2 linked regions of the Mus musculus genome follow. The main gene of each other region encodes a partner of the protein of the gene in region 2 in a complex. Links are inferred from orthologs where the notes say so. Each region holds a gene or a part of one and is shown on either strand. Other genes may lie near its edges. The genes, in order: Taf6l and Tada3.

What was found.
Region 1: Tada3 (region 2) and Taf6l share a complex: the UniProt entries of both Homo sapiens proteins name them as parts of the STAGA transcription coactivator-HAT complex. The link is inferred for Mus musculus from reciprocal best matches to the Homo sapiens genes TADA3 and TAF6L.

What each region holds. Positions count from the first base shown.
Region 1 is NC_000085.6:8,776,233-8,780,041, forward strand, and holds part of Taf6l (TAF6-like RNA polymerase II p300/CBP-associated factor-associated factor 65 kDa subunit 6L), read right to left. Parts: intron 2,694-3,809; coding exon 2,619-2,693; intron 2,502-2,618; coding exon 2,281-2,501; intron 1,988-2,280; coding exon 1,855-1,987; intron 731-1,854; exon of another isoform or gene 1-730. UniProt on the Homo sapiens protein: Functions as a component of the PCAF complex. The PCAF complex is capable of efficiently acetylating histones in a nucleosomal context. The PCAF complex could be considered as the human version of the yeast SAGA complex.
Region 2 is NC_000072.6:113,375,022-113,379,605, forward strand, and holds the start of Tada3 (transcriptional adapter 3), read right to left. Parts: upstream 2,818-4,584; 5' UTR 2,295-2,817; intron 1,925-2,294; 5' UTR 1,877-1,924; coding exon 1,871-1,876; intron 1,044-1,870; coding exon 819-1,043; intron 239-818; coding exon 1-238. Other genes in the region: Arpc4 (actin-related protein 2/3 complex subunit 4), read left to right, coding at 3,185-3,187. UniProt on the Homo sapiens protein: Functions as a component of the PCAF complex. The PCAF complex is capable of efficiently acetylating histones in a nucleosomal context. The PCAF complex could be considered as the human version of the yeast SAGA complex.

The sequences.
Region 1 (3,809 bases), on a different chromosome or scaffold from region 2:
ATCCTCCAGATGATTGTTCCAGAGTCAATACATGCCGGGCTTCCTCCAAGCTATGAGACAATCAAAAAAGGTGACTGAACTCGGGGAACTCCTCAACAACTCAGCTGTTGTGAGGACCACTGTGATCAACACACCCAGTTCTGTGTCTGACCATGTGGTCTGGTCCCTGTTCAATGCACTCTTCAATGCTGCTGCCTGGGCTTCATTGCCTATGCCTACTCTGTGAAGTCCAGGGACAGGAAGATGGTGGGCGAGATGACTGGAGACCAGGCCAAGTGCCTGAATCTTCAGCATCCTTATGGTTATTATCATTATTATCATTATTTCCTCTACCACCTCTGTGGCAGTCTTTCATTTTTACAAAGAATGCCACATTCTAGATTCTAGCTGCCCTGTGTTCCACTATCCACATCTGGCCCTCCCCTTAGGCTGAGGCCTTGACCCTTTACCCTATGCATGCAAATGTTACCTTCACAGATCAGTTCACAGCAGATTCAATAAAGTACACTTGGTGGAAAAAAGCAAAGCAAAGCTATCTTAACAGTAAATGAGGTAGACTTTGAGAATGAGGTAGCCTGTAACTCTAGCATTCAGGAGCTTGAGTCCAAGTTTGAGGCCAGCCTGGGCTTCACTTTTAAGTCCCTGTTTTTGTTTTTGTTTTTAAAAAACCAAGCATGGTGGCTCAAGCCTTTAATCCCAACAATGAAGGGTAGGGAGTTAGGGGCTAAGGAAAGTTTCTCTGTGTAACCCTGGCTATCCTGGAATTCACTCTGTAGGATAGGACAGCCTCAAAACTCAGAGATCTGCCTGCTTCTGCTGGGATTAAGGTCGTAAGGCAAAACACTTTTGGTTTGGTTTTTTGGGGGGGGCGGGGGGGGGATGATTTTGGTTTGTCTCTTTTATTTCTAGATGCTTTTTCTCACTCCTTCTTTAAAACCTCTCCCCACCTTATGGCTGACTATCCCTCGCCTGTTTAGCTCAAATGGCATGGCTTTTTTTCTTCTTTCCTTCAACTTCCACCTCTGAGCAGCTTCTTAGATTTATAGCTTGCCAGCCCTAAGATGTTTTCTTTTAAACTCTACTAAAATTGTCCCTGAGCTTAAAACACACACACATACCAACTATATTTCTGCATACCAACAAGGAGCAACCCTAAAAAGACTATAGCACTATAGCAGCGTCACTGCAGAAATAAAGTGTGTTGGTTCTCCTTAGAACAATATGAAAGCACCCTAAAGAGTGTGAGCATTTTTTTAAAAAAATGGAAACATGACATAGTCAAGATCACTTGATATGTCCCTAAAACCTTTTCATATATATATATATATATATATATTTTTTTTTTTTTTTTTCTTCAAAATGAAACAAATAGAATTAGTCCAAGTTTCAAAGAGTGGCTCAGTGGACATAGTCATATTAACAGAATTAAGACACATAATCATCTGATGATCTCTATGGATGCTAAGTTACTATTTGCTATAAAATACACAACAGAAACTGATGCTGTGTGGTGCATAAAGCAAGAGGATCACAAACTGATGAAGGCCGGTAAGGGTTATATAACAAGCACTGCCTCAAATAAATGAAAACCCAAAGAGAAAAGGAGAGGAACGAAGAAACTGAGGGTATTTCCTAACATAGTGTTATGAAATGGGCAGGGATTTTAAAAAAGAAAATGTTCTGAAGGGAAAACATTTACACATAGTCAAGGAAGGTATACAATAAACAGGGCCTAAAGCAAGGTCTCAACATGGCAGAATCAAACACACACCACTTTTACAATAAAATACACGTGAATGATAGCTTTGTAACACAGCCACTCTCAAAGGTCTGAGAGAAAGCCAGAGTCCTCACCTTCCAGCCTAGAGCATGCAGCCCCACCACTGCCCCATAGTGAGAACAGAGAGGCCGAACAGGGTCTGTCAGGACCTTCTGCAGGGACAGCAGAATCTGCTGATACAGGCCACTTACAAGGTCTCCATGCGTCCTGTGGAAGCAACAGTCAGGAAGGAGAATGAAGTACCACACATAAAGAGTTGGACATTTGTAGACATCTCTGAGACAGGCTGCCAGATGTGACTGGCCCAGGATCCAAGGGACAAAAGACTAATATCTTGCTATCTTTATAACTGTACCATGACATGTCAGCTAGGGGGCTAAGGAAAAGTTCCACATGTAACATTTAATTTAAAAGCCAAAGGCTTCCTACAGCTCCCTACCACAACCCAATCAACTCTGTAGGCTATCCCACCCTCTGCTCAGCCTGAACCCAGTGGCTACCAGAATATGTGACTGAGTAGAAGGGCAGCCCCATCTCGCAGAGTCCAGTGGTCATTCAAAGGGTTGATGGAGGCGGCCAGTGGCTCCAAGACACAGTAAAGCACGCTGCCCACCAAGGATCGGACATAGGGTCCCAAGCACAGGTGTGGGTTCCGTATCAGGCTCCTTGCCACCTGCAGTAGTCGGTGCAGTTGTTCCAGGTCGTGGCTTACAGATTTTACCTGTTGGTAGGAGAGGATGGCTTGTGGTGGCATGGAGAGACAGGAGCTTGCGAAGAATCTGCTATGAGCCCTAAACAGAGAAGGGTCATAGAGATCGCTAGAGAACTGATCACTTACCCCACTGACCACATAAACAAAGTAAGGCAGGAGTGCTGCAATCTTGGAGTTTGTCTGGAGGTCCTGGAGGGCAACCTGAAAGGAACCACCTCAATAAAGGAAAAGCCACCATTCTGGAGGCTAGGTTAGGATCCACGTATTATCATGTTAAATGTTCATGCCCTGATTCAGAAATTCCGCTGAGCTGGGCATGATGGCACATGCCTTTAATCCCAGCACTTGGGAGGCAGAGGCAGGTGAATTTCTGAGTTCGAGGCCAGCCTGGTCTCCAGAGTGAGTTCCAGGGCAGCCAGGGTAACTCACAGAGAAACCCTGTCTCGAACTATCGCCCCCCAACCCCCCCACCCCAAAAAAAAGGGTATCGTGAGATGGCTTAGTGGTTAATAGCACTAACTGCTCTTCCGAAGGTCCTGGGTTCAAATCCTAGCAACCACATGGTGGCTCACAATCGTCCATAATGAGATCTGACACCCTTTTCTGGTGTGTCTGAAGACAGCTACAGTGTACTTACATTTAACAATATATAAACCTTTAAAAACAAAACAAAATAAAAACAGAAATTCCACTGTTTTTAACCTTAAGAAACTGAGACACAGGGCTGGTGAGATGGCTCAGTGGGTAAGAGCACCCGACTGCTCTCCTGAAGGTCCAGAGTTCAAATCCCAGCAACCACATGGTGGCTTACAACCATCCGTAACAAGATCTGACTTGTGTGTGTCTGAAGACAGCTACAGTGTACTTACATATAATAATAAATAAATCTTTAAAAAAAAAAAAAAAAAAAAAAGAAACTGAGACACAGACAAAAACAGTACTGTCTATTTAAAAGAAAAAGCAGCCACAGGGCTAGGTGTGGCACAGGAGGCAGGTGGAGGGCCAGTCTAAAGCCAACGTGACCCTCTTTTCAAACGAGGAAGGTGGACACAATGAGATTGTTCAATTTGGTAAAAGCACCTGTGGCACACAGCCATCAACCTAAGTTCAAATCTCAGAAACCATGAGTAAGTAGAAGAGAGCTAACAAGTTTCCAGAAGACATGTTTTCTCTGTGTAACAGCTCTGGCTGTCCCAGAACTCACCGAGATCTGCCTGCCGCTGCCTCTCAAGTGCTGGAACTAAGGGCATGTGCCACCACCACCATACTCAAAGCGTTTCTTACCTTCACACACGGGCCGTAGCATGTACAAGTGTG
Region 2 (4,584 bases):
CATTCTTGGGGATCCGAGGCACGTCGATTGGGTCATCAGTAAATTCATATTCCTGGATCTTGGGTTGGACGTTTTTGGATTTGGGTCGTCCCGGGCCAGGGCCTGGCCCATGTCCTGTCTTCCCTTCCAGTTTCTGCTTCTTGGGCTTTCCGTGTTTGGGGGGAGCACCGAGCTCGTGGTCGCGACCTAGCTTCAGGAATCGTCGGTCCCCTTTCTTATCCTGCCAGTCAGTAAGGATCTGAAACACACAAAGACAACCCCTGAGACGGAGAGAAGAGACAGGGCACTTCTTTCCCCGCCATGGATAACTGAGATCTAGAATTTGAGGTTATTAAGCAAACTACTCATATTTCAAAATGCCTGTTCTTCTCTGTGATTTTCTCACATGAATTTAACCGGAGGTCTACATTCTGATTCACTTCTGCTGCCGCCCAAGCTAGTCACAAACGGTTTGGCATGGTAGTCCTGGGGAAATCTGCTGCTGCTGGGTTTTTTGGTGGTGGTGAACAAGACTCCCAGCTAACCTTTATGTCACACTCCAAGGCACCCGGTGGTTCTGTCTATGCAACTGACTGTATCACAGTGCATCTCAGAAAGTTCCCAGGCAACTTCAGGGGCCACACGTGGGCGGTGTCCACCTACAGTCGGATAGCATCCTTGGCTAACGGTAAGCTGAACTGAGAGCTAACTATTCTGTCATGATTCCCATGTGGGTCTCTCTTCCCATCCATCCCTGGGCCTCAGCAGAGAGGGAACCTAAGGATCCATCCCATAACTTGACACAATGTCTCTAGTGGATGCCCCCCATGGACAATCACCTGGGTTTCAGCTTCCAGTACACGCAGTCTCCGGCTTGCAGAGGACAGCAGAGTCTCAAGCTCCAGCTGCAGGGTGTCCAGCTCCTCAATGCCAATGCCATCGTCCTCGGAGCGGGCCAGCACTGCCGTGTAGCGGGGACAGACCTTCAGGTGGTCCACAGACTTGAAGTCATGAAACTGCAGTGGACAGTCCTTCAGCTCGCTCATGGCCCAGGAGGTGGGACCCTGTAAAATTAGAGGGGAGAAGGCCATTGGATAGGAGACAAAGTAGCATGGGGAGAGAGACCCAACAGAGCCCTGACTGTACCCCAAGCTAGGTTGACTTCACTGAATTATGCACATAACCTTAAAAGGGGGGCCTTTTGCCATGCTTTTCATTCATTCATTCATTCATTCATTCATTCAACATAATTTCTCTGTATAACAACTCTGGCTGGCCTGGAATGAACTCTATAGACCAGGCTGGCCTTCAATTCAGAGATCACCTGCCTCTACTGGGATTAAAGGCGTGTGCCACCACTGCCTGGTTTCTTTCTTTTGACAAAGAAAGGAAAAAGACTCCAGAAGAGTATGTACACATGCCTAGACTCCTAACTGCAATTTATTGTCTTTTTTTGTTTTGGTAGCACTGAAGGGTCTCACACATCTCCAGACCCTACCTCACCCCCATTTTGGGGTGGGGGAGACAAAAATCTCATTATGTAGTCTTGAGTGGCCTGATACTCATTTGCTACATAGATCAGGATTCATAGAGCTCCCCCTCCCGACCCCCACCCCAGAAAGCACCTGCCTCTGAGTGCTGGGATAAAGATATGCACTCAGGTTGGTCTCAAACTAGCTATGTAGCCAAGGTTTTGTCTCCACCTCCCAAGAGATGGAATTTTAGGCATGTACCACACCTGATTTATACAAGCGCTTGTTCATTCTAGGCACAAATTCTCCAAACTTAATTATGTTACAGTTACATCCAGCCCCCCCCCCCTTTCATGAATTCCAGGCCTTGAACTTATGATCCACCTGCTTTAGCCTCCCAAGTCACTAGGTGTACAAACCTGCATGATTAGGCCGGCCTCCTAGTTGCAATTTGAACCGCAGAAGTCTGGAATCTGCAGCATTAAGGAAGAGGAGATACTAGTGTGCCCTGTCTTCCTATGTCCTCTGTTTCCCTACGTTGGGTCGTTTCTAGCATTCTATTTGACAGGGTTCTCCCTGCCTCCTCTTGTCTCACTCCATTCCACCTCTGCACCTTCTCTGTGTCCCTGGCTAGTTTGGAACACAGGCTGGTCAGGTGAACAGAACTAAGTTCCAGCCCATTTTCTTATGTGCGTTTCTAAACATGTTATTTAACCTGAATCTCCGGTTTTTGTTTGTTTGTTTGTTTGTTTTTCTTTTTTCCAGGACAAAAGATGATGCCTCAGTCTATTTCCCCATTAAGAAGTATAAATCTGTAAAATGGGGGCATCGAGAATTACCTACCTCCCTGGAATGTTCTGAGGATTAAGAGGTGATGCTCGTCAAGTGCCCAGTTCAGTGCCTGGCACAGAAGTGGGACTGCTTAATGGCTGGCTCCACCTGTGTGTCGCCCCAAGATCCCGCCTCCAGGGTCCTCGTCCTCTAGGGAGCCCCTAACACAACCCCCGCCTCTCCTACCTCCTCTCTGCGGCCTCCTACAGGCCCTGGGCCGCAGGAGGGGGCGGGGAGTTCAGGGCGATCGGAGCAACTGCTCCGGAACTGGCTATGGGCGGGCCCCCTGCAGTTGACGCGAGGGCGGGGACGGCCAGCCCAAGGTGGCCTGTAGGGCCGGGGTGGGGGTGGGGGTCTAAGGCCACCTACGAATCTCCGGGAGGTGGAATGCTAGGCCTGAGGAGTCCCGGGCTAGGAAGCAGCCCGGGGCTGGGGTGGGGCCCAGAGCCCAAATCTCAAGGGACTGGCTACCCGGCCGAACCCTACGGTTGCAAATGGGAGGAGCCCGGAGAGGATAGGGGAGCACCACCGGAAGAAACGTTTCTCCGGTTCGGCCTGTCCTAATTTGGTGCCCAACCTGAGGTCGGGCTGTACTATTGTCACACGGGGGGAGGCTACAACCAAAGCGACAAGCACTAAAGGCGCTGGCGGAATATGTGTAGCGATCCAAGGGGACTCGACCGCTACTGTCTCATAGCAGGTCTTCTACAAGTCCCAGAGGTCCCAGTGTGAAATCGCCCCGGAGATCTGAATATCTCTCGGCTCTCCCTCCCCGGTCCTACCCGAGATGGTCCAGCCCGGAAGTGCTGTCGGAGACTGCGGCTGCGCCTCTCTCGAAAGGGCAGGCGTCGCGGGTCCGGGCACTTCCGCACTTCCGCTTTCCGGCCCAGACAGCGCCCGCGATGGTGAGAGACCAGGGGTTGGGGTCCTCCCTGTGTTTTGCCTGTAGAGGCTGTGGGTCTGGGGGAGATGCTGCTTGCCGCTAGGGCTTGCGGCCCGAGGTTGCCCCGGGATGAGGAGGCACGGGGAGGATGGAGAGGCAAAGGGTGGGGCGAGGGCCGAGGCGAGGAGGAAGGGGCGAGCCAGGAGGCTCTCTGAGCAAGAGCAGGCCCGGAAGCTTCCAGGTTGGGAATCCCGGGCTAGAATGACCTCTCCCCGATGTTCGGAGGGGGCAGGAGACCGGGCTGCGAAGCCCGTGGTGGTGGCTTGCAGCTGAGGTAGGACCGCTCTGCGGGGCCTCCTCTCCGTCCACGGTAGAGGTTGGCTAAGTACAACCCCCTGTCCCTGCCTGCCTTCGCGGTCTCACGGGACCTCGAGGCAAGTGTCCACTTCATCTTCTTACTTCTTGGCGCTTCCTGGAAGCCTTGCCTTCCAGCTCCCAATGAAGGTTCTGTGTTGCTTGCCTGCATTCAGACTCCTTCCTAGATGTGCAGAACCGTGTTGACCTTAACGTGTGTAAATGTTGATGGCCGCTGGTCCTCCTCTTTCATGCTCGGGTTTGGGATCTGTGGGTGCTCCGTGCAGTTGTTCTCCGAAAGGTCCCAGGCTTCCCACTACTTTCTCTGGTCAGCCCTTGACGACCTGAGTTCTAAAGGCTGGACTGCTTGTTGCACGCCCGGGAATGCTCTCAGGGAAGAGACTTTGAAATTAGACCCTCTTTTTCAAAAGTCACTTTTTAAAGCTTGCTCCAGTGTTAGTCCTAACTGGTTTCATTCCTTAGCGTGAAAGCCATTTCCTGCTGACTGAGTTTTGACTTTGCGTTTTTAAGCATTCAAGTTTATTGTACAATTTCTTCAAGCCACTAAAGGGTAACTATCACAGGGCTGGTCATCTAAAATTTAGTTTTCTTTCAATGAACCTTGACAAAATAATCAGGTAGCCACAATCGAGGTAGAGAAAAGAATATTCTATCACTTTCCCAACGGTACTTGTCACCGCACACAACTAATTTTGCCTTTCCGGTTTTGCCTCTTCTTGGTTGACATAAGAGAATGCTGTGGTATGGAGCTAGAACCCACTGCTGAACTACATGACAGCTGTTTTTTAGCCTTTATCCCCTCTGTCTGATGTTTGTCTGTCCGTGATCCTGTGCTTGTCTCCGCTGCCCCACGCAGCCTGTGCCTCTTCTCTGCCACAAGTCTCACTTCCTTCTCCATCCCGTCCTCCAGAGAGCCTCTGTGCAGCGGTAGCCCTGTAACTTCCTTCTCAGAAAGTCCCAATGCTTCCTGCTACATTGAGAGAAAAACTCAGTGGAAAGCATTCTAGACTGTCTAGGGTTTTATCCCAGCCTGCCATTGCAGCC